2 linked regions of the Drosophila melanogaster genome follow. The protein of the gene in region 2 interacts with the protein of the main gene of each other region in a pairwise test. Each region holds a gene or a part of one and is shown on either strand. Other genes may lie near its edges.

Region 1 (16,979 bases), 5.3 Mb from region 2:
CTGTTCGTTTGCTACACTTTATGCATGCTTCGGCAGTTTTCTAATTATGACTTATGATCTCTGGGATTAGACAAACAATGGATCGTGGCACGTGGTTCCCAAGATGCTTTCGCTTGTGCCTGACCTTTTCCCACGATCTGTTTGCGGTTGAGCGCTCGAGGCCCATGATCACCGCAAATCCCCTGCAGACAAAACAGCCAAAGGCTTAAATCTGTATCATTCGAATGGGCGAACAGAACGGCGAAGATGGGCTCCTACAACTGTACCTTCACTCCGCCAGGTAGGCCAGGTAAATGCGCGGAGAAATCCCTCTATACACACATATTCCTGGCCCAAAATCTCAGCTGGCTGGGATGCTGTTGCCCTGATCGTGAGGTTCGGCTTGATTGCACTTTAAGCCGCAGGCGTTGGATGGCCCGAGGCAAATGTCGGAGTTCCTGGAAGTCAGCACAACAAAAGGCTGGATTTGATGGATGGGTTTTTTGTTTGTTTTGCTAATTGATTTTGATCAGGTCAGCAGAATTGGTACGTAGGCAGTTAAAGAAACCCAAGAATTGACTTCCTATTCTTAAAGAAACACTTTGTATTCCTACACACGCAAATTGCCATAATCGAGACAACTTCCTGTTTATTTTAATGCGGCGTGAAATTGGAACAGGCTGTCAGGAGGGGAAAGCAAGCAAATCTGCTCTTCGCACTTGAATGATTCTTGGGCCCAATCATGGGCTATTGTAATTCGATGCGTGTCGAAGACCATTATGCGGGTCTTTGGTAGGCGGCTGGCAGCACTGCGTAGACTCCCTCCTTTCGTCGCTGTGAGCCTAGTGAAAAACATGAAATTATCGTGACAAACATCAGGGTTCATTAAGTCGCTTAAACACATGTATGTTTGTACTTGTACTTACCACACACCACGATCGCGTTTCATGTCGATCCATATGAAGAGTAGAGTGCGGCCGAGGGGCGTTTCCTTTGCCGCGGGCCATTTTTGAGACCCTATAATTTTCCAGTTGATAATCTTGGCTGATGATCGCTAATTGGCTGTCAAAGGGACAGGAACGCAGGGTAGCCTAGCAAGCAACTGGTTGATGATTGGAGAGTTGTACATATGTATGTGGAAGGTACTACTCACACTGCGGGGTTGAAACTCTGTGGCACGTGCCACACTTTCTTAAGGTCTTCGAGCTCCTTTTGTCTGAAATTTGATGCTTGTAAATGTCTTGGGACCGAACAGGAAAACAGAGTTTGTAGAACGACGAGAAGATGTTTTTGGAACTCGTGTTTCTTTCAGTTCGCTTATTGCCGGTGGTTGGTTGAAGTTGAATTTGATTTCGAGCTGGGAGGGGAAAATGATTGCTGGCTTGTGCGTAATTGAATTACTTAATGATGCGGTCGAATTGGAATGCATTTTTTTCAAGACTTATGAAATATACTGATATACTTGGGCGTTTATAGTTTAGTCTGAGATTTGAAAGAAGAGAATAGCACAACACACACTTTTTGAGAAAAAAGTCCACAACCGGATTTTGATTTAACTTGAATAATACAAATATTTGAATTATGCACAAATTAATTGTTAACAAGAGAGAATGCTTAAGCCTTCTAAGTCCTTCTAGCTGTTATAAACCGCAGTGATGGACATGGCCAGACCGACTTGGCTAGTGACCCTGATCAAGAATATATATATATACTTGACATGGTCGTACTCGCAGCCCACAACCCGCACCATATATAAAAGAATATGTCAATAACACAATTATATAAATTATAATAGTATAACTTTTAACACAATTATATAAATTATAAAAGTATAACTTTTAAAGTTTCTTTCCGTAAAACTGGTGTATAATATAATATATTTTAGTTACTTGCGCAGCACAAAATGTTGTAACTTTGGTTACAACCTTTGTAGTTCCCAGCGAAAGTTTTGTATTAATTTGCCTAACTTGTGCCTTAAGTCGGTTTCATCTAAACCTCTGCTGACTTTCTGTTTTCCTGCTCGAGATCTTCGCTTGAGCATAAACAGTTCTCACGATCACTCGATCTCGGCAGAGAACATTCGTTTTTGTAACGGATAATGGCCAAGAATTTCCCACACGATGTTGACACAGCGAACCGCGACCAGCCAACCAAACAGACCTTAAAGCCCTCCGCAAACACTCACTCACACTCACACACACACACAGCCGTTCCACAGAGTCCACATCCGCTTAACGTAACGATCGAGGATCTCGTTAAGAGCAACTGCGACCAATGTGGAGTGGAGTAGAGCGGCAACACCGCTGGAAAGTGGACGCAACCATCATATTCTTCTGCGCTCCTGATCCTTTTTCCAATACCTCGATTCGGAGTTCTCACGCGAGCACATGCCAAAGCGAAAAAAAGGGACAGGGAAACAATTAACAACTAATTTAGGCCTCTGCATATAATTTTATGGAGAGTGGTGCGGAGAGTCGCAGTCCCACAGGGAGATGCCTATCTGCAGGAGCTGTGGGAAAAAATACGTTACATTCCTTTCCTTTGCTTTCCTTCTCTCTCTGCCTGTCGTTGCGGCATTTATTCCCACGCGATCCTCGACTCTCGTTTTTGTTGGTTTTCGGGGTTTCGCTTTCGTGGAGTACCCAGTATTATTAAAATGCAGGGGTATATGGGTGGTGAGCAGGTGTAGGATCCTGTAAGTTCTGCTATTTTTCAATCTATATTTTAATACAATTTTTGTTTTAAGAATAAGATATTCTACAATTATACTCGTACAATTTCTTCCTTAAGGCGTACGATTAATATTTTGTAATTCACGATTAGAACTCGGTAACTGATAGTCGGTATCTCATTCCAGTGCAACGTTCTTTCTCGTTTTTTGTGGGTCTTCGTTCACACGCTCTGTGCGTAAAAAAGAGAAAATGAAGATATGGGAAAGGCAGGGATGCTGGCACTTTTTGCTGGTCGCCTGTTGCTAGACCAACAAATATTGATTGAAATTCTCACGCTCGAGGCAAGGAATTTTACCTGCAGCGAAAGGATTATGCCCACATTAGCTGAAAGATCTTCGAGGTATTTGTTGAATATGCTCTTAAAATTGGTTGTCTTTGGTTTGCTGAAAGCCGCTTATAGAAGGTGACAGTTTCAACCCTCTTTTGGATTCAATCCAGTTGAAGATGCTCTTTGGGAAACGTATGAATCTGCTGTTCCCCTAATGGAAGCCAAGACTTGGCACGACTTCTTATTTTCTTATGAATGAAAGCAGTTCAACCCTCATTTATAAGGTGTTGTTGCGTAATCTTCGCTCCTCCTGCTTTTTCTGTCTTCCTGGTAAGGACAAGACGTATTTTTCAAGGCAGTCCAAATTACGAGGGTTGCAAACGTCTTAGGAAAGGAGAAAGAGAAGGAATAACTTCTCCGTAGCTCAATAGTTTGGTGGTAGTTTTGCACTACCCAAAGGTAAGACGGCGGTAGCTAATCCTGGAAAGGTGAGATCCGCTTTCTGGCGAAACTGTTTGCCTGGTATCCGATTTAATTGAAGCGATGATGCTTTAATCCAATTTGCATATAAAGTTCGTTGGAAGAACAAGGACTCCCTGAAGGAATCCTAACCAACTGCTGCTCGCTGCTTGCCTGATGATTCAGAAAACTAATTAGTATTCCATAAATAGCCCGCATTCTCACGCCTTCGTGGAATCGGAGAACATGCGGGCCAAACGAACCCAAAGGAATCCATAAAAAGATCAAAGATATCCTAAGGTTTCGCGTATCATGTGACCATCATCGTGAATGTCGAAATCTGTTCATTGCCTTACGGATGCTGTTTGCCTAGTAGAAACCGACTAATTAAGCCGATTTCGTTCTCACGCCTATCCCAAAAAATCTTAGCATGTGGCATGTGGAGTTCCAAGAAAAAGGCCGCATAAAAAGATGTGAAAAAAAACGTGTCATAAAAAAGAACCCACATATTGTATGTCAAATAATCAATGTTTATTTTGCAAAAGAAACGGAAGCTGGTACAGGAAATGGAATCCGTAAGATCAGAAATCGATTTCCTGTTTGAAAAATTGGGTTTCAAGTGGTTACAAAAGCCATTTCCTACTTCCGTTATCCTGCATGTGTTCTTTAACATGCCATCCGGCAAATATTTCACCAGATTTAGGTCATGAGTATAATCATTTTAAAACACGTGCCAGTTTCCTGCATTCCTGTTAGAGAATCCACAGATATAACCACCACCGGGATACGTTTCCCACGTTCTTTAATTTTCCCAGGAAAATTCAGTCTTGGTAGAGTGTGCTATTTAAAGATGTTCCGGTTCCTTTTTTTTTAACAAGTTTTCTTGTGTTGATGCAATCAATTATTCCCATTGTGGAAATGACCTTTAGTGTAAACAAAGATAATTTCCGGTTGAAAATAGGCGTACCCTAAGATTATGATTCCGCTGCCGTAGTCCTGCAGGTGATCCCTCCAAATGGCATATGTTTTTCCGCTTGGCATAGAATACGTTTTCAGCCTGGGAAACCTTTATGGACACTTATCAACTGTCCTGTAGTCCTGTTAGAAAATCCCTAATCTTACAGTCACTTGAGCAATTTTCCCACAACATATTTTGGGAGCAATTTTCCCACAACATATTTTACATATTAAACAACTAATTTCTAAAGATTTTTTCCCAGGATCCTTTTTTACAGATCATTGCCTGTTGCTCTTCTTAAATCTTGTTGAATTTTACGGATCTTAGTTTCAATTAACTAAAAAACGGAAATGTAATTTGAAGTGTGAGCCATATCACTTCCGGTTGATGATCAATGTTTCCTAAGGAAGCGATCTTTTCTCAATCCTACAAGTGGTAATTCCTTGGCCTGTTCTTAGAAATTAGTTGGGACTGATTTTAAATTGCGGTTTAGGGTGCGTGCTGTCATTTCTGTTATCCTGCTGGAAAATTGTTAGCCACCACCACCACTTAAAGTTTGTTCCCATAATGGAAGATATACGATTTTCCCATGAAATATTTATAGCTCGCCTTGGTTTGTTTTAAACATTATTTTGCTTGCACCTTTTGCTAATTCTGTTATCCTGGTAGGATTTTCGTTAAGGGGTTAAATATTCTTTAATTTCATACACGCTCGAAATCAAAATTTTCCAAGGAATGGAAGTCAGAGTTTTCCTCGGAAGTCAATTTCCATTGTGTTGCATATATTTATGTTCGCTTGGTCTTTCAAATTTCAATTTTGCTGATTAAATTTTTAAATTGATACAGTTGAAAAGTATGCTATAACTATTTGCTTTAACTATGCACATTTTCCAATATCTTGTATGCAAGACGCGTTCTAAATTGTGTTGAGAGTCCTGTAGGTTTTTATGTTTGCCTGGTGAATGAATATTGATTTTTTTAAATTTATACAATTTTTCACACGATCAGACTATAGTAGGTTTACAATCTGCATAGGAAAAAAATAAACGATCGTCTTTTATTTTCCCATGCAACAGGTTTTAGGATGAAAATTAAATATCACAATTTTTCCAGGACTCAGGTAACATTCCTTTAAAAAACTATTTGTTTGGCCTGAGCCATGTAAGGTCACACGAAACATGAGAATTGATCACCATCGACAGATTTTCCACGGTTTTCCAAACAAAAGGCAGCAGGAATGTAACATCGTGTGCTCCGTGCCACTTACATTTTCCCAGGACTCGTTCTTAGGTAGACTCCTTTTCGGAAAACTATAAATAGCAAGCATCCTACAAATTTGTATGTTCGCCTGGTATTATTTAATTAATTTTTTCCGAATATCTTGAATTTTCACACGGTTAAGTAAACAAATTTTCCCAACAACCTTTTAAACTACGTAAAATGTTTGATTATTTTCCAAAGCAACAGGTCAAATGCATTTTCGTGTGGCTTAATCCATCTTCACTTTCCCAGGACTCCACTTCAGGTAACATTCCTTCGGAAAAACTCTCTGGAGTGTGCTGCTGTTTTTTATGTTTGCCTGGTGCATGAATATTGATTTTTCTTGATTAAGCTGCAATTTTCACACGACCGGCAGATGCATTTTCCCACATCTGTCCAGGCTGCATTACAAATGTATTTAAAATGCATTTATTTTTATTCCCATGCAACAGGTTGCAGGAAAAGTCGTATCATCGTGTGATTCGTAACATCTGCTGGTTCCCAGGACCCTTCAGCAGGTATAAGGTCGATCTCTCTTCGGAAAAACTCAGTGGCACGTTCTGCTGTTTTTCCTGTTTGCCTGGTGGCAATGTTTACATTGTAAACATCTGGACCGGAAAATTCACACGGTTGGTGGACCAAAAGCAGATGAACATTTTCCCACAGCTGCAGTGGTTGCAACTGAATAGATCTTAATTTGTAGAAAGACCGTTTTTTAAACAAAGGACGTAAGGTTTCCATGTGAAATCAACAGGTTTCTTGGAAAAAGGGTGCTCCTTTGTACCGTGCTGCATTTTCAGCTGCATTTTCCAGACTCGAGCAACAGGTAGAGATTCTTTTGGGAAAACTCTGTGGTAATGCTACCATTTTCGCTGATGCCCTGGTAGAAGAGTTTTCCATTTACACAACAATTTTGGAAAATTCACACGATCGGGACAGATGTATAGATTGCATTTTCCCACAGCTTCACCAGCTGCATCTTCAAATTCTTAGGGCATCCCGCTTTTTTATGATTCTTTTTATGTGGGAGGTCTTCTTTTTCGAAAAGATTTCAGCTGCACTTTCCCATGCCGCGTGCAGGTAGAATTCTTCGGCTTTTCTTCTTAAAATGCTACCGAAATTGCTGTGGGCCTATTACATGATTCTTCAGGGGTGTCTTCAAATTTTAAGAATTCTCACGATCTTTAAAAGATCAAGGATCAGAATAGTTTGATTTTCTTCTTATGCAACAAGTCCTGCCTGCAGTTCTTTGAAGATTTCCAGATTTTCCAGCAACTGCTGTTTTCGTTTCTGATTTCCTGATCGAAAACTTAACAAATTATAAGCAATTTTGAACATTTTCACACGCTGAAAATTCATTTTCCCATAACGTCCCAAAGGGCCAACAATGAAAGGATCAAAGACAGAAAATTCTCACGAATTTTCCCAGTGCTTCCACATGTGCTAGCTACCTGCTCTATCACATTTTCATTCGATTTCCCGTAGTGGCGTGCTAATTTTACTGTCAGCCTGTTAGATATTTTCCGAGGTTTCCCAAGCATCTCTAATATTTCACACGGTCAGCCCGTGTCAAGAGATCTTTTCATGATTTTGGGACTACACCAACCACGATTTTCTTTAGCCTGTGCCGATCATTGTTCTCACGCATCTGCCATCCAGATTGTGGAATCGGGACGGGGAATGTGGAAACGTTAGAATGAAAACCCACACACAAAGCGATCTCTGGTTTTATGTGACTCCAAATTCGAGGAATTATTTCTAAGGCTTGGAATGTTGCAGCGGTCCCTTTGAGTGGCTCAAATTCCAGAAATGGTTCGTGCGGGTACCTGAAAAAGGTCCAAATCCAGTTTGTCATCTTATTTTGCGTTGGTACTCAAGAGTCCACTGAAATGATTCTGTGCTCCTGGTGAATTGGTTGGAACTGGCATCTTTCCTTTTTTACTTCTTTTTTTTTCAAAATTGATAAACCAAGTAATAAACCACGAGGCTTTATAATTTGGATGGAGCAGGTGGTGCTACGAATTCGCTTTATAATCTTCATAAACAATACAATGTTTACCCAGCTGGCAGTTTTTGGTGCTAATTAAAGAGGCTATAAAATCTTTTTAACTATATGTACTTATTTATCTTGGTTTTGCTTAATAATCTACTTAGTTTATATATTTTTATTAATTCGCTTCTGGAAACAGCACTTCAAGTTTTCTTATCAAAACTTTATAGAGCAAAGTACATATTTATAATGCTGGTAATAGTATTTATATTTATTTAAACATCAAAAGCTATACAAATTAATAAATGCTGTAATATTTTCATTGACTCGAATGAATTTGATTTATGTAAGGATACTTTAACTGCTGATCAGGACCTCTACACAGCTCATAGCATTGGTTACAAACTTGAAGGGATTCCGGATGGTATCGTTGCGAGGATTGATCTCCGACAGAGAAACATATGACTTATTCGGACACGATTGCTCTTCAAAGGATCCACAGATCACCTTATTGGAAATGCAGGAGTCGATGAGTTGCAGCGCCAGTTCCACTTTGGAGGTAATAGAGTACACCTGGCCAAAGGAGCACTGCCAGGAGTTCCTAATGCGATTATCAGCCGTGCATTCCGAACTCTTCAGGTTGGTATTGAAAGTATTCTGTGTGGTGATGGTATACTTATTGGCATCACCAATCTGCAAGTGTAAAAAGAAGTCTCAGGATTCTGCTCTTAATAATATAGAAAGTTGTAATACTTACCACCTTGGTTACACAGAGTGTGTAATTTAACTGGGCAGTTGGATGAAGTTTTAGGCATTGTGCCAAACCATTCTTCACGTTATTTTTATAGTAGTTATTCAGGGTGTTGTAGGTGCTCTCAGGTGCATTTAAAATGCCACTAATACTTTCCTTACACTTGATAATGGAGTCCCTGGCCACGGTGATCGTTGGTATAGTAACACTATAGTTCTGTACGCATTGTTTGCTCCAGGAATCGATCAGGATAATGGGATCCAGGTGAGCGGAGGCTTGTTCCAATTTTAGCTGCATCGAATCTGCTTGCACATCGAGCGCATTGATTTGCTTCTGAAATAGCTGCTTAAAATTGGCTAATTCATCTGCCAGCTGTTTGATCTTCGCGTCATATTGCCGCTGATTCTGGAGTATATAGAGATCCATGGACTGGGAGCTGTTCTGCGCCTGGCTAGCCACCAGGCTCAGAAGAGCCAGAATGATTGCTACTCCCAGAAAGCTCTGCATCTTGACTGTGTGCCGAACGATTGGGAAGCCTCTGTTTATATATACTCTCTACTTTCTTATCACTCTACGTACTTCCCCTGCAAAAGTCGTCGTATCAGCTGCGGCTCCCCCATAATGAATTTTATTTGCAAGCTCCGAAATCCGCCTCTATATTTAATTGGCTTTCATTTACTTTTCAACTCAAGAATTGTTTACATAAGGTTTGGCCGTTGTTCCTAAGAATTTGTGTGGTTATCCTCTCTTATCGGGGCCTTTTATAGGCGAAAAGTTAAAAATTAATTACGTGTGCCAACTTAAAGCTCTAAACAAGGTTATTTAATGGGAACGTCAACGTGTGTCAATAAGGAAGTTTTTATTGATTGGGGACTCACACAAAAACAGTTTGTATGAATGGTTCAAAATATCATATTACAAAATGGCAAGAACATTCCTTCTGTTGGGTCTGGTCAGGAAGTGAATACTATGCGAACATTTGTAATTGTTTCGTAAATTGTATTTTTTAACAACCTAATAAGTTGTGCGATAACTTTGAAATACCAGCGTTTTTTTCAACTCGAAAAGGTTGTTCAAAGTGTAGAGCAGTTTCGAAAATGAGTTCCTGAATGAATGTTCAATTTGCTTTCCAAAATTTTATAATTTAAAAGTGTTTGTATTTTCAATGGACAAATCAGTGGGAAGTCACACGGCTTAATCGCGACATAATGAATGTGAGTATTATCAGCGAATGATGCATATATGTAATTTGTAATCTAAATGCTGTTTTCCATACACCTCATAAAAGGCAATCCCCATTTGTTGTTGATCTCAACAAATACTATAATAACAATTTTTAAAAACGCTTTTTCTTATTTGTTTTATTATTTTGCTTGCAAATTTTAATCGAATCTCAATAAAAAGTTTGAAAATTCTTTCTCGCACTTTCACTTGCTGTAATGGATATCTGATTAACAATATGTCGATATACCTTGCTATTTAAATGATTTTGCAAACCTGATCGAATTATTGTCCATAAAAGGCCACTAATTATTGCCACCGCCCACTGCAAATCCACCAAGGCGATTGCGGAACGGAACTTTCTAGTATTTCAGTGTTTTTTTTTTTTGGTTTATTAAGTATACGAATAAATATCATAAAAAATAAAATACAACAAACGCTTAGGTTAGGCGACAATTACAATGCGAAACCGAAACAAACGCAACATTTGCAGGATTAGTTTGATTGAAACGGGCGGATCGGGATCTCACTCAGTGCTGGACCAGTTTGAATCGGGATGCCTCTGCATAATCCCTGGCATCCGAGAAGTTGCGTTCCGGCTTAATGCGCACATCGTTGGGATCGTTGACGAACTCGCCACTCCAAGTGGTGGGCAGTACCGTGGGCTCGGTGTTGTAATCAAAGTAGTCCTGGTCATCGGATCGATTGCGCTCCTGTTTGATGCGGGTCTCGCCACTCTTCACGAAGGTGCCATCCCATTCGGTGGGCAGGACAATGGGTTCCGTGTTGAATCCGTAGAAGTTGTTGGTATTGGTTACGTTCTGGTTCTGGCGACGTATCTTGGACACATTATTGACAGCTCCATCCGGATACACGAACTTGCCGTTCCAGCCCTCGCACTTAATGGGTATGTAGTCCTCTTTCTTGCGCAGCGGCATTTTTGAACTCTGTTTTTGTTTTTACTTTTCCAACAGTTCGATCTATTCACAACGAGATTGCAAACACGATTGAGTCGCATTCGAGCAGGTCTTATTCTAAAATATGATTTCACCTTGTTTGAGCGCAAAACTCGTCATGTAAATGATTGTTATTTGCCGCAGAGAGTCGACCCCCGCGATTTCCATTTGTTTTGCTCGTATTTTGAATCGCTGACGTCAGGGGCGCGGATCTTAACGCGATTTCTTCCGACAGCTTCAAACGGGTTCAGACACTCAGACACTGGCAGAAAATGTTCGATGTCAAACGGGTGAAAAGGTTAAAAAAAGAGGATAAAAACTTCTACATTTCTACTAGAAACAATTTGTAAATGTCTTTGCATGACTAAGAAGTCTTTTCTTTTAGAAGCACTTTTTAAATACTTTCAGTTACGTTCATATGTACATATATTGTTGTCTCGGACCTTTCAGGAAAAGTTAGGAACTCCGACAGCAGAACAATTTATTGTACATATTTCGAAAACTAAAAAAATAACATTATAAAATGCTTACTAGCTTATTTTGTATCTCAAAACTGTTTAGTCGCTTATTATTTATTGCAACATATGTTAGAATGTAATTTTCGTCTTGCAATATTTATTTTCTCTCAGTGCACCTCCTCCGCAGGTTCGCACTTTCGACGGCGCGTCGCTCGGCGCTTGGCCATATAAAGTCATCGCGTCTGGGGCGGCTCAATGGCAGATCGGAGCCCGAAGCCTCGGAGCAGAGTTATGGTGGCCTAGCTGTCATAGGTGTCTTATGTAAAATACAGAGGTATATCTTGATTGCCAGCAGATTAAAGTGATTCATTCATTCGACCCGGCAGCGAATATGACTTTTTCTGGGGGCGGATCGCAATTAGAATGTGTATCGTATCTATGCCGCATTCTAGTAGTATGAATATTTATTTTTGGAGTCTTGCCCATCTATTTGTGTAGATAAATCCCACTTATAAGTACGGCAAAATAATTGAGATATTGTTGCCCGTTTATGGGGCAAATGTATTAATTTGCATTTTATTATTTTTACAAACCTTTAAAGGTAATTTATTTACTTTCCAAGTACAGCAAATAATCAGATAAGAAATATTTATTTAGCTTTACTTATTTATATATTATAGCACCTTTTGAATATTTTGTATTCCCAGTTTCGGTATGCATTCTGTCTAGACGTTTTCGCATCCGAACTAACTTAATTAAAACAAAGTTATGAGTGTTCGGGCCATTATTCATTTTCGCCATGGGTTCGTGTCCAGGCTAGTTGCTAGTCTCATCATCAGTTTTGCCAATTAAGCTTCGCACAGGCAAACAACGAAAGGTTGTTCCGACATAGAAAAGTGCACTGCAAAATAGTTACATGCAAAATGTCGAAAGAAAATTTTTGTCAATTTCTTTACAGGTATGCGTAATTAGTCGTTAAATTGGTAAATATTTGTATATTCATCTAATGTTCTAAATAAATATTAATAGTTTTAATATTAGAATCTTTCGATATTACTACTACCAACATTCTTAGTAATATTTAACTTTATACAAATATTTAAAGAATTTTATACTGTAATTACCACCTAATAACCCATACTGCATGATTACATAACACAAATAAAGAATAACAATAGCTTATTTTAATTGTAATTGTAATATATGTTTATTATTAATGTACAGATTGAAGACCATCGACCAGGATCAATCGATCCTAAACCTTTTTGGATCTTGGTGCTGTAGTTTTGTTATCCGTGTACCTTCTGCACCTCCAATACTCCTCCATTCCCTCCTCCATCTCTTCCGCTGGATGCGTGGCTGGCTTACCTGCGGCATGGACTCCCTCGCCGGCGACTCGACGTCCACCTCCTCCTCCACGTACAATTAGTGTCCCTCCGCTATCTGCCACCACCTCCTGCGGCCAACTCCTGCGCCGCTGCCTCGTTAGAAGCAGCAGCAGCAGCAGCAGCGGCAGCAGCGACGGCAGAGGTAGCAGCACCAGCAGCAGCAGCGACGGCAGTGCCGGCAACAGTTTGAAACTTTCTCATTTCGGCTGGGATGGAAGAGCAGAATGGCCTCCAATGTTTCTGGCCTCGTCGTCGTCTGCGCATTTGCTGAGCGCCTATTCGAAAATCCAACTAATTGCTTATTTTAACCCCTTGAAAACTGAGCGCACAACCAGACAAACACTTAGTTACACACACACACACATGTACATGCACACAATGGTCCCCAGGCTTCGTGTTTATTAATTAACAACACAAAAACCCCGAACCAACAAAAGGCCCCAAACACACACACACACACACACACATATACACGCATACACAGTGCCAACCGGGCTTAATCCAAGTGCTGTCTCTGGCATATTCATTAGTGTTCATTAGTGGAACAAAATGCTCATTTACTTAACTACTCCGGGACAGTCGGCTGTGTAGACCCATAACGAGCTCCCCCATCCCCCATACACCCCTCCCCCCGCTATTCCATAGTACCCCACTAGCCCCCACCACCGATTCCAGTACCACTCCCTTGGCACTTATCGGCACTCGGCAAGTCACTCGGCTCCTGCCTCGTTGGCCATCTACATCCCAATCCCAATCCCAATCCGCATCTCCATCTCGCTCTCGTGTTGCCAATTAAAATTCCACTTATGCCAAGTTAACTCACTTGGCTCGTTAATTGTTGTGGCTTTTTAATTGGACCCTTTTTTTCTCCTCCTGCTGGCTGCTTTCCCGGCCCCAATTCAATTGAACAACAACGAAAGCAACTACAACAACGGCGTTTTTAATGAATAGCGCAAAACTTGTGGGTGCTATGCATCCATTTAAGCCCGAAAAAAGCCCCTAGACCCGATCTCTCTTGGCCCAATCAAAACTTCCACTATATGCGGACCCACCTCCTCCGCGCACTGACCAGGCTTTTTTCTTTTTCAATGTCCCATTTGGATTGCTTATCGTCTGGGCTCGTCAGGGTTGTCAAGTCCTCGTGATGGCAAGACTAGAAAAATATTCTGACAAATGTAAAGATTTATTTTAGAGATACGAACTAATAAATATATATAAGCATAAAAACGTGTCTTGCTTTTACAATGCTAAACCTTTTTTGTATGAATATTGGAAAACCTAACAAGAAATAATTCACAAATTTAAATAAATAAAAATAACAAAATTAGCTAATGAGCAATTAATACGGTTTAATTTTAATTAATTATAGCTAGCTATCCCTTTTGGCGTGCTCGACAACCCTGTCGAGTTGCTCTGGCTCCATTCAACTAATGAATGAAACCGCAAGCAGTCGAGCAGCGGCAACAACAACTCGAAACAAAAACCCAACAAAAACCCCTAATTAAAATGCATTTTCATTTGGGACGTCAGTGTGCTGGCACCACCCCCCTTAACCCCCGGCCACCAACCGATCCTGTTGTGTGCCTCCCTCCTGAAACTGGACATAGGCGTCATCCAACGGGGGTTGTCATGTTGTTAGTGCTAATTAGCCCCCGCTGGTGGCGCCACTGTGCGCCTCATGAACCGTTATGCCATTGTACGTACACACACACACATACATACGCATAGTTATAGGCCAAGCCCCTCCAGCCCGAAAGCCCCAAAAACCCCAACCCCGCTACCGTTCGGTCTGAATGGCTGCGGGCATATTTAATTACAAAAGCTGCTAATTAGGAAACGTACACACCCACGTTGGTTAATTTGTTTGCAAACCAATTAACTCGGCGCATAGTAGCAGGCGCACAGAAAACCGCAGACAGTCGACAGGCAGCAAAAGCAGCAGCAGCAGCAGCAAATGGAATATTGGTCGCTTAGCCCAGTCGGTCCCTCAGTTCAATTCTGGGGGTCGTCGGAAGCCTTACGTGGCCGGGATGGTTCGGTGGCTGCTGAGAACTTTCCAATCCAATCGGTGGTTGGCGAACTTAACTAATGCCAACTAACTAACTAACCAACAACAACTGTTAACGAGCCACAAAAGCCTGGCCACAAAAGATAAGGGCCCAGATGTTTTCAGGGGTGGCGCAGGGATTGATAGAGAGAGCGGAGGCGACGGGGTTGCCAAGAAGCATTTCTAATAAATGAAAGCGAAACTTTAATGAAAAAGTTACGTTTCATTAACGTGTGCGTGCGTGTGAGTGTGTTAGCACTGTGAGAAAATAGGTATATATAGCAAAGATTATTCATTAAAATGAAGTCACCTGTGCACTGCAATGAATTTAAATCTAGCTATATGATATTTTTCCATTTTGAAAACTAGCTTGTTATAACAAGCAAAACACAAAACACAAAATCTTCAAAATCCTAGATCTAAATATTTATTTGAACTACGTTTTGTTCTCAGTGCATGTTTGTTCTTAATAAATGAGCTAGAGTTGCTGCAAAACTTTCTGTCGCTCTGGTTTGGCACGTTTGCCTTTGTTGCTGGCTTCTGGCTTCCGCCGTCAGACGGTCGTGCGTGCTAATGAGTAATAAACCAGCATTGTTGTTGCCGGGGGTGGGGTTGAGCCAGCCGTATCAACACCGCCACCCCCATCCCCACCCCTGCCACACCCGGTGGCCTAGACAAGCGGTAGACTTGAATGTCAGGCGAACAGACCCATCGAGCAGCATTCGCTGTCCCAAAAGAGAGAATGCGAAACCGGGGTGGGGTGGGTGGATGATGGGTTGGTTGGGTTGGGTTGGGTTGGATGGGTGGCTGGGTGTAGTGTCAGTTGCTGGGGATGGTATCTGTGTGGATGCCCTCTGTTCCGCCTCGGCTTTCGCGTTAATTAGTTTTGAGCGCTTTCATTATGCAGCTTCATGTGGCAGGCGGACGTGGCGCATGGACTTTTGTTCGGTGAGTGTGAGGGGGGCGAGGGGGAGTACAGGATACGCCATGTCCATGTCCATGTCTCTGCTCCGGAGCGATTCCATCTTTCGCCATTTCGCTAATGAGCTTTTTAGCTGACTAACCAATTTGGCGTAATTACATTTTTCTGATGCTCAGATTACTTTTTAATGGTATTTCTCGAAATGCAGCTGTCAGCTACATGGAATTTAAATTTAAAAAAACTGCTCGTTGAATGTATCTTTACACTGAAACAAATACTTTTTTAACTTTTGAGAAATAATAAATATATATGTATATATGGTATGTATAACAAATATTTTACAGGGAATAAGGAAACATATCAAGGAAATGTATTACTTTCAAGACATTTCTTAGCTTCTATAACATATATACACATACAAAATAATGACATATGTATGTACATATGTACATATGTATAAAAAAATAAAAAAAAATTACAGAACCGTTTGTTTTATTAGTAAATGCCATCATTGGGAATTGCATTAAAGAGTAAGTGCATGGTGGAAATCAGAGTGAGTAAACCTCATATGCAGGGTATTTCCCAGTCTCAATTGAGAAACCCCAGAATCGAAAACCATATTGCTGATAAGGCAAAAAGCTAAGTGCGATTGCATTGCGTTACATGCGGCAGCCACCTCTGCCCATTTGCTGGCCGCCCGAATGGCAGCCAGCTACAAAAACATTGTGGCTTATCACAAAAGAGTTAACAGACACTACAACAACAAGCGAATTGAACAAAAGGCGATGTGCAGGCACGTATGTACACCCCCCGCAGAGCCGACTACCCCACTCCCCTCTCCAACACCACACTACCAATACCCTGCCAGCACGTTTGAGTTGCCCGTATTTTTGGGTTATCGCCCGGTCGTATTTGTTTATAGAGAAAGAGAGAATTTTTTTTTTTGTCTTTTTTGACCTGACCACCTGTTGCTGGGCGCTGAGCGCCTGTTGCGCTAGCAAATAATCGATCGTCAGTTATTTATTGATTTCTGATTGATGGGCCAACCAAGTCCCATCCAATTTGAATCCAAACGACGTGGCTTAAGGGCGGGGGATTAGCGTCTGCTACGTGGGATCTTCGTGTGTGCCGGGGCGGATTAGCTGGCTTTGGTCATGCGGCTAACAGAAAAACGGCAGCAGGCAGAGATCGCGTCGCCAGTGGAAATTTGAATAAAATTAACATTACAACTACAGTAGTCGGCGGCACAGAATGCTGATAAGCGCTTAACTTATCAAATGCATACATAAGTGGTTTTCGTTTGGTTAACTTTAGTTTATTCATTTTTGAAATGTCTATAACAGAAACCCAAGAAAACATATTTAAACATAAACACTTAGGAGTCTAGGAATCAGGGACGAAGGTAATTTTGGGATATACTCGTATATGTAAATTGTTTTTTTTCTAAGTTTTTTAATTTGTTTTGTTTTTTTTTTTGTAGTTTTGTGACTGTTTTAGCAAAACTTATTTAGCTACGCCCTAAGCCTAGGCAATATTATCAATTTTTTTTTTTTTTTTTTTTTTTTTTTTTATTTTACGATGATGTTTTTA
Region 2 (16,201 bases):
AATACCCCTTATTTTCGAACTACACTGGGGTAGACTGAACATGTGTGAGATCTTTGTTGCCAAGTAAAATTTGATGTTCATTTGGTTTAATATCACTCTACTGTCATTTAGTTAAGTAATAATTCAACATATTACATGATTTCTTATAAAGGGTACACCAATGTCGACTATAGCCCATGGGAATAAGTTACGTAACATCGTTCCGAGCTTAGATATATCATATATGTACATATACTTATGAAAGCAAACACCACACACTGCCCTTTTGCTCGCCACTCGTGTATTCCAAACAAAAAACTCTTCAACTTTCGGTTTTCAAAGCAGATAAGGCAAATACAATCACCAAGTCGATTTGATTTAATTTTTGCAACAAACATAACCGTTTCTTTCAAGAATCACGATGAAAATGTACAATGGACTTCTATAACTAATGATAAACAATTTTGTTTTATGAGAAATTGGCTTTCTGGACAAAAGACACAAAGTCGTCGTACAGCTGCTGGGGCAGCTCAAAAGCGGGAAAGTGACCTCCATCCCGGTGGTGGGTACTGTGCACCAGATTGGGGAACTTGTTGGCCAAAACCGAGTCGGAGAAATGTGTGATCTCATGGGCGAAACGGGTGCAGCCAGCCTTGGCCTTGATGGGCACGGAGTCCACGGCCAGTGCAAACTGCGAGGCAACCATTGATTCGGAATACAGACGCATGGAGGTGGTAATGGAGTTGGTCACATAATAGATCATCACATTGTCCAGAAGCTGATCGTAGGTAAATCTCTTGGTCAGACCACCGTCAGGAAGCGATCTAAATGCCGTATTCGTCCATGTGGAGAACTTCTCCAGAATATAGCTAGCCAGACCAGTTGGATTGTCGATCAAAGCATTGCCGATGGTGTCTGGCTTGGAGGCCTGAATGTGGGCATAGCCCATCTCCTCCATTATGGTGCTAAACAAGTGACCGAGTCCCTTGTAGAAGTCCGCATACTCGCTGTCCACAAACCAGCTGGGGAAAAAGGAGGCCAGCACCATCTTCAACTGACCCATAGGGCTGTTATTTCCGCACATATTAGAATGATAGCCCAGCACGTTTTCCGGAAAAAGTGAGGCTACATTGGATCCAATTATGGAACCCCAATCGCCACCCTGCACCAGAAACTTATCGAATCCCACTCGGAGCATCAGGTTGCGCATCACCACCGCCACTTGCGCCACACCGAATCCAGTTTTTGAAGAGCCCTGGAGTTGGAAAAATATAAAATTAGTCATTTTTCAATTTGTAATTTGGAGAAGGTTGTGTAATAACTTGTCTACCTAAGTGCTATATATTAATGCCATAGTAAGAGATAAGTTCTATGGCTTACGGCTTTTGGAGAATATAGCATTACTTGGTTAGCAATTTATTGTTGTCCCTTTGGAAACAAATCTAACCTGAGACCATCCGTAGCCGGGCAGACTGGGTGCAATAACCTCGAAGACGTAGTCGCTCTTGTCACTGGGCGTGGTCAGGAGAGGGATGAAGTCGTAGAATTCGCGAACGGTTCCCGGCCATCCGTGCATCAGAAGCAGAGGCAGCACCTTCTTGGGCTTTTGGCCTTTCACCTGGCTTGGCTTGGCATGAATAAAATGAATTTTTAAACTGCAAAAAAATGGAAAAACATTTGGGGTTAACTTTTCATGTTAATTTGCAAAAGCAGGCGACTAATTAAGCGTGGAACACTTCGGTTTTCCATAAGTTCTGTCGCACTCACCCCTGAATTTCCGTTTGGTAGTGATCCAGCTTCTTGAGGTACTCCTCCCGTTCGCTCCATTTGGGCAGATATGTATCGCGCCAGTATTTCACCACCTTGGCCAGTTCGTTGGCATTGAATCCGTATTGGAAACCCACACCCTCCAGTGGCGCCTGCGCTTTCAAAGGACGACTCAGCTGACCGATTAGATCCTCAATAACCTTTGATAAGAAGTGATGAAGGATATTAAAAAAATTATATAACTTAAATTAAATTATTAAATCAAATATAACTTTAAATAGTATGAATTTGTACAAATTACCATAAATTCTGTATAATTAATGATACTTGCATACCAGCATGATTCGAAATATTTACATATACTATACATTCATAGCTTTGATTGCATATCATACTGATTTGATATTTTGCATTTGTATATATGCATTTGTGTATGTATATTTATTTACCTCTGGCTTTACGCTGATGTCGAAGGGTAGGATGGCCTTGTTCTCCCGATAAGGTTCCTTCAATGTTGGACCCCAGTAGGCGTTGTTGTCCAGATCGGGTCTCTTGCCGGGCGCCGAGAGATCGCGATAGTTCTTATAGCCAACGGCCACCAGGATGGTCAGAGCTCCGACCAAGATTCGTGGCCAGATGTTCGCCATTGTGTGTTTATGCTATATTCTTTATATATTCTATATACACAGATCGGCGAACTGCGCAACTCCTCGCTTACGATCGTCGAGCACAAATGATTTGTAAAGCGCAAGCTACCGGCAAACAAAAGCTTTTTGTTGGCTTGTGGATTTCAAGTGGATCGTATTCCACACGGCAATGCAATGCGAGCATGATTGGACAAATAATTTGAGAATTTCGGCGAGCTTTTGGCAACAAATTGAGTGAGAGCAATTTTTGTACTTAAAATTTACATTTAGTTTAGGAAGATGATCAAGCAGTTCCATTTATCAATCCACGAAAGTAAAGTGAACAAGAAACGATTCATGCTTAAAATGAAATTGTTATATGACATTTAACTAAATACTGATTTAATTAATTAATAATGATTAAGAACTCGAATTACCAACACGCGGAGCCCTTAATATATACAGAGGTGGTCAAAAGTATTTTCACAACGCACAATATTTGCAAACTTCAACTTCTTTTTGTTATATTTCTTCTTGTTGTTGTCCGATTTGCCTGAAATAGTTCTTATCGCTTAGCTTGATCTATGCAGAAGGTAGTCGAAAAGAAATACGAAAGATAACGGTTCATAGTACAAAGCTTAAAGCAAAAGAAAATATGCATGCAAGTTGTCAATAGTATTTTCACATGTTTATTGCGCTTCAAAAGTATTTTCACTCAACTTAATTTAGTAAATTTCAGCTTAACATCTAATTTCAACATAAGAATTTTTTTTATTTTATATAAATACAATACTAATATTTTGTAACACCACCTTTGGCATCAATAACTGCTTGAAGTCTTTTTGGTATTGACCTTACCAAAGTTTGTGCAAATTCTAATGTCAATTTGGACCAAATCTCCGCTATTACAATGATGGCTCCCTCTCGTTTTCTATTTTTATCAATAGTTCGTTAGTTTTTAATAAAAGCCCAAACGTTTTCAATGATATTAAGGTCTGGGCTTTGGGGGGGCCACGGAAGAACCGCCAGATTAAGGTCGTTTAAAAATTTTGTTGGTATCCTACCCTTATGGCATGGAGCATTGTCCTGCTGAAGAATCCATTCAGTAGTTGGAAAAAGTCTATTTCCAGACGTAAAAGCATGGTTGTTTAAGATAAGAAGGTATCCGTTCTGATTTAAAGTTCCTTCTATCGGTACCAAGTCTCCGAATCCATAATAGGAAAGACATCCCCAAAACATGACTGTGCCCCCACCAAATCTATTGGTTGGCTGGGCTGCCAAATGCTTTTGATTATTTTTCAAATGCATAAAATGCTTGCTGTATGACCCCTGGTACTGAAATGCAGACTCATCAGTCCATAAAATATTAAACCAAAAGTCAAGAGGCTTCTTAACATATTCCAACGCAAATCGAAGACGTTTTGTTTTGTTGGTTGGTGTGATCTCAATCGTTTTGCGAACAACGTATGTCTTAAAATCAGCTTCTTTTAGCCTGCGACGAATTGTAGAACTACTAACTTGTTTGCCAATTGTATTTTTTGATTCTAAGGCAATTTTTACCGGACTGGCACTAGGATTCTTCGCCACAACTCCAAGTATTTGCCTGCATTGCCTTTGGTCCAGCACAGGTTTTCGGCCTGATCTTTTTTTATTTTTTAATGTGCCAACTGTATCAAGCTTTTTTATTAAGTAGTAGACAGTTCTACGCGAAATTTGATATATTTCAGCTATTTTGGCCGCAGGTGTACCGGCTTTAAACCTAGCAACAATACCAGCCCGGGCCTCAACTGTTAACTCTTTTGTTTTGGGCATTTTATTTAATAACTGTAATAGGAAAATGATTAAATCTAATTTTTATTCAATAATTTAAATGTATTTAAGCAAACAAACCGGCACTTGTCACTCTAAACCAATCACTGAAGAAGAAATTGCGTTGTGAAAATAATTGTGATGCGACGAAACCGTGTGCAAATACTTCTGACAACTGATAAAGATCTCTTCATTTGCCTCTTCCTTGCGCATAGGAACAGTTATTTTTTCAATTCTTCTTTCATCTGACTCTGCATAGGTTTGAATTTGCAAAAGCAAAAGTTTTTTTGCATTTCACCTCCCCCCACTTGCTGCACAAGCAACTGTTTGTGACCCATGCACAAAAATGCACTTTGTGAAAATAATTTTGACCATGACTGTATATATATAAATATACATATATACATATATATAAATAAAGAATCAATAATATTTTTTTAGTTTGCGGTCAATTACAAACATGGATTACAAGCAATTACTTCTTAACCATACCTACTATTTATAGTTATTAGTTTTATTGTAATGTAATTAAAAAAGATTTTGTCTTACCCCCTTCTATTTCCCTTCCACATTTGTTAAATATTATGTAACCACGTTATGGTGGTACTGAGGTGGTCCCAACCACCTTACTGCAAAACCGTACTTAAAATACGTTGACCTTTTGTCGCCTTGCCAATTTAATAGCTATCTCATGTGCCTCCCGATTCCCAAGCGAAAGTACAAAATCCGTTTGGTAATTATACTTAAAACAATTTATTTTCTCTTCTCGCCGTGTAGGCCAATTTTTCCCACAAAGGCGGTAAAATCATTGAACAACATGGCCGGCATCTCCAGGGCGGCAAAGTGGCTGCCCTGCTGGAAGTACATCGAGTGGGTCAGGTTGGGGAACTTGTCCCTCAGCTGCCAGTCAGTCACCGAGGCCAGATCGAACCGGAAGCGGGCACAGCCCATGGGAACCGGGGACTGCACACGATCCAGCTGGAGATCCCTGTACGTCTTGGACACGTTCTCCAGGTAGAAACGAGCCGCTGTCGTGGCCGAGTTCGTCAGATAGTAGACCATCAGGTTGTCCAGCACAGCCTCCAGGCCGAAGACAGTGACTATGGCGCCAAAGTCCTGCTTCAGGCCGGGATTTGTGCAGGTCTGGAATTTCTCGAGGATATAGGAGGCCAAGCCGACGGGACTGGAGGTCAGAGCCGCTCCAATCGTATCCGGCTTGGTGGCCTGGATGTGAAAGTAACCGCTTTCCTCCAGCAGCTCCAGCCATTTTTCCCACACGGGGAAGTGATGATCCACAAAGAATCTGGACGGCAAGTACTTCTCCGGGAAGAAGCTGCCGTAGATTCCCTTCAGAATGGCCAGTGGCGTGTGCAGAACGCACATGTTCGAGTGGTAACCGATTACGTTCTCTGGATACAAGGTGGCCAAGTTGCTGCCAATGATGCTGCCCCAATCTCCGCCTTGGATGAAGAACTTCTTGTGGCCCAGACGCAGCATCAGGTTACGCATCACAGTGGCCATTTCAGCGGCATTAAATCCGGGACGCGTGGCAGCCTTAAGTTATAATAATAATAATAATAATTAAAATGAAGAAATTCAACTGAAAAACAAATAACACTCACATCGGACCATCCGTAGCCCACCAGGGATGGTGCCACGACCTCAAAAGCGTAATCCGTGATGTTTGAGTGCTTGGTTAGCATGGGTATAAAGTCGAAGAACTCGCGCACCGATCCTGGCCAGCCGTGGAGCAGGAGCAGAGGATATACGTGTTTCTTTTCCTTAGCCTCCTCGGATACCTTTTCGTGGATATAGTGAATATTCAAGCTGCGGAGGTATTACGTTTTTAGCATGGCATCCATGTTATACAAAAGCACTCGTACCCACCCCTGAATTTCGGTCTTGTACTGCTTGAACGAGTTGAACAGCTCCTGGCGCTCATCCCACTTGGTCAGGTAATTGTCCCGCCAGTAGTCCACAAACTGCTCCAGTGCATAGGTGTTGAATCCGTATTCAAAGGCGATTCCGTCCAGCGGTTCGGTTAGTCTCAGCGTGCGGTTGAGTTCCTTTCGCAGATCATCGATCTCCGATTGCGGCACCTGCAGCTTAAACTCGTAGATCTTTTCGTCGGGCACAAAGTCCTTGGCATCGCCGGGACCCCAGTACGTATCATCCTTGAACTCCGGCTTGGGCAGGGGCTTGGTCAGTTCCGTGAATACCACGTAGCCATAGCCCACGAAGGCACCAAACAGGGCCACAATCAGACCAAACACTATCAGGCACTTCATTCTGGCCACAGGCGCAATTAGCTCCCCCTCGTTATGAATTTAAATTAGCCACCTCGTACACCTCCCAGAAGAGATAATGGTTTGTGATTCCTAACCCGAATTCGGAATAAACACGACCGTGCAACCAGAAAGCCGCTTAAGAACTGACTGCCGGCGCATATACTCATTCCCCGAATTGTCTCGCAAAGCTCTATCGAAATTCGCTGTCGCCGTTATAGTATATGTTCGTATAATATTTATAAATTCGTTTAGATAGCGCTGGCTATCGTGCACAGTGGTTCACAATATGATCTGTCAAATTGATCTTTGCTTGATCTTGGTTATAATGGTCTGCTCGCAGCTCAAAGGTTAATGGGCTTGGGAAATTAAGTATAAAGTATAAATATATTTAAATGTGGTTAAAGCTTTGCACTTTATAATGAAATTTTTGTACTTTATAATACTTTTATACTTTTTGTACTTTTGTACTTATAATATATAATTAGATAGTTAGATAGCTTGCCTATCTAAGGGTATTTAGGAATACCAATTCCCTAACCAAAGGGTATTTAGGAAGTATATATATTTTTTTTCATTATTTTCTATTTCCAGCATTTTATAATAGACTTAGCCCCAAGGTGCATTGCGGTTAGTCTGCCTGGTACTGTGTTACTTGCCCGCGTCTGCACCTTGAATAGCCCATTGATTTCCGAGCGAGATAGGGTGACCCATACGTGTGTACCATATGAGACAAGTGCGATGGTGACTTGAGAATAGTCCCAGCTACTTATTCGCCACCACTATCTTATCGAACTTATTTATTGGTAAGCGCTACGCCGGCAACTGATCATAAATCTCAGCCCTTCTGCCACTGATGATGTGGCTCCAAAAAATGAATGAAATGAAGTCGGCCGATCAGAAGGCCACGTGGCACCTATCACTATCTAAATACACTCCTAGTAATTCTAATGTAAAATAGAATGGCCAATCAAAGCAAAACCATTTGGCTTCTATCCTCAAATCTACCTAAACTGCGGTGCCATGTGAGAACGGATCAACCTTTGGCCGCACTTCTTAGGCAAAAATATGCCCAGGCATTTGGAGTTGCTACTGAGTCTCTGATCCTGGCCTTCGATGGTGAGAAAATCCAGGAGGAGGACACATTTGACTCCTTGGCCATGGAGGATAATGACATCGTCGATGTTGTAGAAGAATGTTAGTGCTCGAAGACCATGAAGCCAAGTTAATAGAGGCAGTGAACTGCGAGAGGTTAGCAGGCGACATTGTACACTGAAAATATTAGATAAAAATTGTAAAATAGAAACCCATCGCAAATATATGCATAGACTTGGTAATATTTTGTCTAAATTTTACACATTTCTATTTCTGGGTGCATAAAAGGTAGGGGATAATTCGCATAAATTGTAAGGGCACCAATAATGCTGTCGACATGCAACTATATCGAAGGACTCAAGGGGCAAGGAGACTCGATAAAAAAAACCACAAAAGTGCCGCCAAACATGCAAGACAGCCAAATGGGGGCGTGGTTGGTTCGCCGTGGCAGAAACAATGATGGGAAACGTAATTCGAGCGAAATTAACGCAATTACCGTGCCGCAGTCAAAGGACTCAAATTCACTACCTTTCGATGCACTGCAGTTGAAAAACATACAAAAATAAGACTAAAGTTTGTTCGCGTGCCGCAAAAACAATCGCATTGATACTTGGAAGCGTGTCAAAGCTGCCACCTTCCGGGGAAATGGAGAGGTTCCTATTGCGGACCCGAATCGCGGACCATTAATGCCGGCTCCGCCGGGCTAATTCACATTTTATTGAGTGCTCCAGTTACGGCCAAAGTTTGGCACCAACGCCGCTGCCATTGGCAACCGCCTCGCCCTCGAAGAGGGGGCGTGGCCTTAATGGTCGCAATTAGTTTTTCATCCAGCTGACACGCACTTGTCGTAAAAGTCCATTGAACCTGACGCTAAATTGATTTCCATTGGGGCGGGCCTGGAAAAGTTATTCAGCATATTTTACCTACTAAAAAAAAAAAATACATTTTTTATGAACAAAAACGCAGGTACACTATGCCAGATCGATCAAATCAACGTTGGTTTGTCATCGCAACTCTGGCTTCGTGGAACTTAATGAGTGGTTTCGGTTTCTACGCCTACATTCTGGATTGCTATGGTCAGTTAGTACACGTTTTGCCAGCTAATGTTTATATTTTTCCCTCAGTAAATTATCCATTTGATCACCAGAGACGTCAGTTCAAATATCACACTTTTGCCGGAACTATTGACAAAGATGTTGTTATGGGAATCACTGTCGTAATGCTATGTCAGATAGTATCTTCGATTCTACTATGCTTTGCATTAGATGAGGTGAAGTTTAAGAATATAAAATCCTGGCGGTATATTAATTAGTTTTCATTTTAGAAGAAAAGAACATGTCTTATTTACGGAATTTTCATTAGCCTAACTTTTCCGTGTGTCTGTCTCCCAGTTTGGCCATTAGCTGGTAAGTTTTTAGAATTTTCAAAAATCTTTTTCGAGGCATCTAATAGTGTGTTTCAACAGTAACACATGTCAGTCTTGTTTTGGTAGTGCTGAGTTATTACTTTGAGTAGTTTAGAAAATGTTGTAAAAAATTGTAATTATTTTGGTCCCTGTATACAAAATATGTTTGGAGGTTCATTCATTTAAAAATGGGAATTATGGGTATTGATATAGAATATATTTATAAAGTAGTAAGATATAATTTAATACATGAGTAGAAAGAGTTTACTTTTATATAAAGCCAGTTTTGACAAACAATAGGTGGTTTATATATTATAACTGACTAAATTAAATTAAGACTAAGTCATACAAGAGTAAGTTATTTTTCTATGGGCCCAAAAGTATAGTATAATTTTGGTTATAACAAGTAACTTTACTGATAAGACTTGGATTCTCTTTATAATATATTTAACAGAGATGTATATGATGCAATTTATAGAATTTAAAAAATCTTAAGAAACTTAAAATGTTGCTTCAAGATCCTGGTCATCATTGCCCCAGGGAAATTCCGTCTTTTCCGGTGGACCTTCACCCCTTGAACCAATTTCAAGCTCTATATAATCGGCAGATGACTGGGCTGTGACGTGTCCCAGCTGTAAAGTAAATATGCATATATATTTTTTTTTATATTTTTTTATTTTCGGATTAATTGTATATTTTTCCTTTGCCGCACTCACCCAGCAGACCAAAAAAACGGCCAATATTTTCATTAATATCGATTGTAACAACATTTCTCTCGGCTGCCTCGGCACTCAACTGCTGATGGGAAACTGTTTTTACGTTTGCTCAACCTCTGCTTTTAATCAATTATCACTTATTAAATATTTATATTTGTTTTTTTTTTTGTTTGCCTGCATACAAACATACATCGCTCTTTGTCTGTCGCCGCGGAGAGGTTTTAAAATTAATCCGTGGAACTGGGAAAAGGATGAACTTTCGTTTATTTTCGAAGGGAAATCATTAATGTTTTAATTGTTAATAATAAGCTGGGAGGTTGGGATATTGTTCTTAAGATACATATTTAAAAACTTCGTGGAATAAGAGGTTACAAATTTTATCATTTAATAAGTATTTAACCTCTTGTTTGTCAAATGAAAATAAGGTGTGAGTCCTCGTTTAAGAAAGATCCCCTGGTGGTATTTGTTTTTGCATCGGGGATTCCTTTTTTATGACCGGTAATCAATCTTGGGTTCTAATTATGAGACAATAACCGCCGTAGGTATACTTTCTGAGTAGATAAGGTGACATCGGGGATTCCTTTTGGAAAGCGGCCTATAAAAGAGCATCGAAACTGCAGCAAAGGTATCAGTCAGCATATTCCAGTTCTTCAATTGAGAACAACTGAGATGCAGTTCACCATTGCCGTCGCCTTACTTTGCTGCGCAATCGCTTCTACTTTGGCTTATCCGATGCCCGACGACATGACCATGAAGCCCACTCCACCACCGCAGTACCCACTCAATCTTCAGGGAGGCGGCGGTGGCCAGAGCGGCGATGGTTTTGGCTTTGCAGTCCAGGGTCACCAGAAGGTGTGGACCAGCGACAATGGACGCCACGAGATTGGACTGAATGGAGGATATGGACAGCACTTGGGAGGACCATATGGCAACTCAGAACCGAGCTGGAAAGTGGGAAGCACCTACACCTACAGATTTCCGAATTTCTAAGCTTCATAAATATTTTATTGTAAAAAACTTCACCAAATATTATCTCGATTGGTATCCGAGTCTAGCTATTATAAAAACCATACCCACTTTGTATATTCAGATAATTGCAAAATATATAACCGAATACAACGATATGCATACCTGACCATAATTTCACTATCTCAAATGCCATCAATGTCCTTGGCGTTGTTTGTTTAACCCGGAACATTGAGGCAGACTTCTAGAGACAGAGGCTGGTGGGTCACAGATGATCTTGCAGTTTGGCTAATTGTTGATACATCTTGTTTGGCCAACTCCGTTGGGTAATAACAAATTACGATGACAGGCGGTCTTAATGAAACCTGCCAAGACAAAATGTTTTTTGCTAATTGGATTTATTGCGTAAACTGTCGAGAGAACCTTCGATGGAAATTTATCATGCGCAACATCCGCAGCCTAACCCGAAGATTAAAATATTACGCCATCCCCAACGAAAGCGAATAAGATTCGCTTCGAGTATTTGAAAAATGATTCGTGCAGAGGCTGTATTCTAAACTCTTTTACAACCAAATTTGGGGATTACCAAAGCTTTTCACATCATTAATTCCAGCTAAGAATGGCCAAATTGAGTTGACCTTGTAAAATGATGAATCGATTTGGGAAACTAAATTCTGCTTGGGTCTGCGGAACCTGTAAGGTAATTTTGCTTGGGAGGAAATCAAATTTTGGCGAAAGTAACATCCGATATTCTTACTAATAGAAAACACGAAATTGGAGATGATTAAAAATAGAATATATGTTGAATGAAAATGTATTATATATGCATAAAACTCAGGTTACCAGAAAGAAAGTTGGTGTTAAAATGATAAAACATAGATTTGCATCTTAACTAGAATGCATAAAAGAAATATAACTCTTCGTATAATGCTCTTTTTTATTAGAAAGAATTAATTTAGAAAGAATTAATGTTAGCCTAAGAATCTGAAATAGAATTAGCTTGTAGTAGTTAATATACATATATTATTTTCACAGCTGCCACACATGAATGGATCCCAATCGAAATGCGAGTACCTCTACATTCATTGTTTCTAGATGGGATTCACTTTGGCATCTGCCTCTATTTGAGGAGCCTACACGTACCTCTTATCAACGAAATGTGGGGATCCACTGGTGAACCACTGCACCGTCGTCTTGACAGGGATTCCCAATTGGGGAATCTCATCTGCGAGTACTGATAAGACACAGATCCGAGCTATATAAGACCTGAGTTCGACTCTAGCCGCATTCAGTTGACAAAGCCTAATCAAATCAAAATGCATTTCACCGCTAGTCTTCTATTCATTGGACTGGCTTGTGCCTTCTCGAGTGCCTGGGCTTATCCCTATCCTGATCCCCGAGAGATTGTGAATCTGCAGCCTGAACCACTGGCAGTAAGTTTTTATGAAACTTTTCACTTGGAGCACAGTTTAATAGAGTATTTTTCTAGTATGCTCCCAATTTTGATGTGCCCCTGCACAGAGTGCGTCGCCAGTTCCAATTGAATGGCGGTGGCGGTGGAAGCCCAAAGCAAGGATTCGATCTGAGCCTCAACGGACGTGCTCCCGTTTGGCAGAGCCCCAATGGACGCCACTCCTTCGATGCCACGGGATCGTATGCCCAGCACCTTGGTGGACCCTATGGCAACAGCCGGCCTCAGTGGGGAGCCGGTGGAGTGTATACCTTCAGGTTTTAGGGCACTTCAGAAGCTACATAATTTTTATTAAATAAAATAAATTTATTACAATTACAAGTCACTTTTTTTTTTACAAGTATTCAGTTCCAGGTATTGTCCCAGGGTGATGATCCCTTATCAGTTTGATTGTAGGCAAATATTGTGGGATCTGGCTGAGGCATGAAAAACTATAGGGAGAAATACAAAAATGTAACAAATAAAGCAAAACTTAAAGGGCAAAACTAACCTCGTCATCCAAGTTTACAGACCCACCGCCCACAGAACGCCCTTGGATGAGGCCAATTAGGTGGAGAATAAACCAGAGAAGCCACATTTCACCGGGAGAAGCTGCGTCCGACTGAATTCATAGCCCGATTCGAAATGCCTTTGGCTTCTCTAACAATTTTCAACCAGCTGATAAGAGCCCGATAAGGCCGACACTACCGAATGTCTGGATGTGTGTCAAGAGCTTGTGGCCAGACAAAAGACCATAGCCCCTGGAACGGAGACCAGGTCAAAGCTACAGCCAAAGCCAATGCCCAACCCAGCTGAACTGTATTAAATTTTTTTTGGGGGGGGGGGGGGGGGGAACGTCCAACTGGCAGCCAAATTTGGCACGTTTTCTGTTGAAATCGAAAAGAAGCCAAAACAAAAGCAGCACAACAGAGCCCGAAAATAATGGAAAAGCAAAACAAATTTAAATGTTAGAAGCAACTCAACAATGAAGGTCAGGCTATGATGACTTTTTTCCTGCACCCAGTCCCCATCCTCACAGCAAAAAAAAAAACAAATAATAAAAAATAAAAAAAAGAGAAAAACTACCGAAACGGAAATTTGGTTGCGCTTTGCCACTGCTTCGTTTTTGAGTCCAACTCGCTGTCTTGGGTTAACTGGCCAAGCTCCTTTTTGATAGCTTCAATTGCGGAGCAATTTTTCTCTTCATACCCTGCATTATGCATACCCTTTACTATTTAGAGCTCAACGAACTGGGGCAAGAGCTTACTTTAAATTGGAATAATAAGAACTTTAAGTTCCATCTATAAACTGAGAAAATAGTTAAAGAAAGCCAACTCTTATGCTCTTTTATAATTATTTTACTTAGTTGCCAACAGCTTTTTTTTAAGAGTATTTGGAGCCTCAACTGACCCCATCCCAGATGCACTTTCCACCTCTGGTTTTCACGTCATTTTCATATGGAGAGTGCTCCAATTCAATGGAAGAGCTATTTTCTAAATCAATGCGCAAATTGTCAAAGTCAAAAGCGGTAGAATTTCTTTTGTTTAGCTTCGCTCTGTTTTCCTTTGCATTTTCGTCTGACATGGGGGGAAAATTGGCTCGTTCGGAAAATTGCTGGAAAAGAGAGGGAGTAAGGGGAGCTATCGGGGAAGATCTAAAGTGGGTGGATTGTTTTCCAAATTGCACATGTGGCAGTCAACTCATTTGTCAAGTGGCAAATCAGTTTAGGCCAGGACAGTAACACAGAGCCAAAGACCGAGTTAGAGTCGACGATAAAATCAACTTTGCATTTTCCATGTACCTCAAGTTGACGGTGAAGTTTCCCCTTCGCCGTTTTTGATCGTGACGATCGACGGCATTTCCCACGCAAAACTTGCCTTTTGGTACCGAAAGGCAACTAAATTGTTTGACACACTCAACACTCGGCACTCTGGCTCTTGTCTTTGATTGTATCGGAAACCGAACAAACATTGCTAAAATTTATGCTCTCCATAGGAAAAGTTTCCAATTAGAAAGTTGCCAAGGGTGGCGGCGGATGATAGGCGGCGAAATTCATCTCCCACTAATGGCTTTTTAATGAAGCCACCGTAAAACACCAAAGAACCAAAGAAGTTCCCTTCCTTCCAGCGCGACTAAGTTACTCAAGCTAAGCGTATTAATTATGACTGACACCGTCTGCTAGCTGGCCAAAGAAATGGCCAAGCGAAAAGTGCAAGAGTTAGCAGGTGCCACACAGACTTGGCTTGGCTTTTCGCATTTGCATCTGACATTTGCCAAGATGCGCCGACCTGCAACTGCAGCTCCTGCGCTCCACCGCTCTGCCCTTCATCCATTCCACTCGCGATAGTCAAAAAGCGGGATCGCGGCATTTTGGCCTGCTTACTGCATTTGGCCAAAATGTCTATAGTTCAATTGCTGATATTTTGGCCAGACACACGACGGAACACGTGACCTATGCAATGGAGCAGCGCCAGCAGACGATGAAACATCGCCGAGGAGCGTGAGCTACTCGCGATGGCTGCGTAACACGAATTGAGGTTCCGAATCGGTGTCACCAAGTTGCTATTCCATGGAAATCTACATCAATATGTAATGTCTAAAACTTATTGATTAACTTAAGTAATAGTTATGGTTCTGACTTATCTTATTTTACATTTATAGAAGTGCTTTTTTGGAAGCCACACGCTGCCATCTCTAAAGATCAGCCAGGTTTGTGATGGGCAACAGTTGAATAAATTGTTCGACTTAGATTTTAAATAAATCGACATCAAAAGGTGCACAAAGCTTTGGCTGCAGAATACTTATGCCTTTTATCTCACCTAATGAAGGTTGACTCTTGTGGTTGTTGCTGGTTGCAGGCAGCAATTGCTGTTGTCATGCAAATTGGACTCACGTTTTGCACATTAAGCAACCGTCAATTGTTTCAACGAATGCAATGATTGAGTTCTTGGCACCTGGCCAAGCCTCCAAAGCCTCCATGGCCCTAAGCCCCTCAAACTGAACAGGCTTTTTTTTTTATTAGGCCTGAAAGCCCGCATGTGTTGCATGGGGAGTGCTTGGCTAATTGGCGTCCAGCAAGCAGCAAGCCGCAACTGCAACAATGTACCGACCAGCAACATTGACCAGCAGGAACGGACAGGGAATGATGCCTCAACTTCATCTCGATCTTAACAGTAAAAATGAAGACAAAAATATTTACCGTAACGCATTAAGAGAACAAGAACAAAAGTTACTGATGCTGCTGATGTTGCTAGTGCTGCTGCTGCAAGTTGCCAGTTGCTGTTGCAGTTGCAGTTGCTATCAGTATCAATAGTAATTTGAGGCGGTTTATTTGGGGGAGGAGAAATAGTGTCGTAGGTCAGGCGGCAGCAGCAGTTTAAGCCGACTGCAATTTGTGGCCTACGAGCAGCAGCAGCAGCAGCAGCAGAGGCAGCAACAGCCGCAGCAGCAGCAGCAGCAACTGCCGCAGCAGAGGCAACTTCAGCAGCAACACAGCAACGAGCAACTGCAATGACGATTTGTGGCCAATTATTTCAAATATTGTATTGAAATTGTAGGCCAGTGTGAGTGTGTGCTTGTATCTGTGTGTGGTTATCTCTCGATTGGCATCTGCAGCAGGCCCAATACTAGAATCTCCCCCCCCCCCCTCCCAACGACTGCTATCTCCACTCTCCATAGCCAATTTCCCCAATCTCACGTAGCCCGTTCGAGTGTGTCACAAGTGACCACTGCAAGTCCAGCCAGTCCAAGTGGACTGCCAATCGATGGCAAGTCCCAGAAGCTGCCGTCCAACTCTCGGCTAAGGTCGCAGACTCCGTGCGGTTCCCACAACCTGACGCATCTTTGTCATGTGTCCGATTAATCACCACTCTTAGCCTCAACTTCACTTCCAGAACGACTCGGCTTGGACGGCTCAACTTGGCCAACAATGGGTCACATCAACTGGCAACTGGCAACTGGCAGCAGCAACAGCACGCGCTGGCTGACCTTTGTTGCAGCAGCAGCAGCATCAACCCATCAGCAACAGCAAAAGCTGCAGCACTTATCTGACATTCATACGTTAATTTTAGCTTGTTGCATCAGTCAGATTGCCGGTGTCATTC

The links.
Region 1: the proteins of Jheh3 (region 2) and CG42807 interact in a two-hybrid assay, tested with the Drosophila melanogaster proteins (one large-scale study listed by BioGRID).

What each region holds. Positions count from the first base shown.
Region 1 is NT_033778.4:13,563,627-13,580,605, forward strand, and holds CG42807 (uncharacterized protein), read right to left. Parts: upstream 9,134-16,979; 5' UTR 8,905-9,133; coding exon 8,404-8,904; intron 8,340-8,403; coding exon 8,004-8,339; 3' UTR 6,969-8,003; downstream 1-6,968. Other genes in the region: CG42808 (uncharacterized protein), read right to left, coding at 10,149-10,556.
Region 2 is NT_033778.4:18,855,458-18,871,658, forward strand, and holds Jheh3 (juvenile hormone epoxide hydrolase 3), read right to left. Parts: upstream 6,622-16,201; 5' UTR 6,470-6,621; coding exon 6,069-6,469; intron 6,009-6,068; coding exon 5,804-6,008; exon of another isoform or gene 5,736-5,803; coding exon 4,935-5,735; 3' UTR 4,918-4,934; downstream 1-4,917. Other genes in the region: Jheh2 (juvenile hormone epoxide hydrolase 2), read right to left, coding at 449-1,234, 1,427-1,634, 1,747-1,946, 2,196-2,393; CG43069 (uncharacterized protein), read left to right, coding at 7,429-7,668; CG43070 (uncharacterized protein), read left to right, coding at 8,535-8,637, 8,686-8,831, 8,886-8,967, 9,027-9,076; CG43071 (uncharacterized protein), read right to left, coding at 9,467-9,598, 9,683-9,736; DptA (diptericin A), read left to right, coding at 10,352-10,672; DptB (diptericin B), read left to right, coding at 11,965-12,081, 12,138-12,383; CG43109 (uncharacterized protein), read right to left, coding at 12,464-12,550, 12,610-12,696.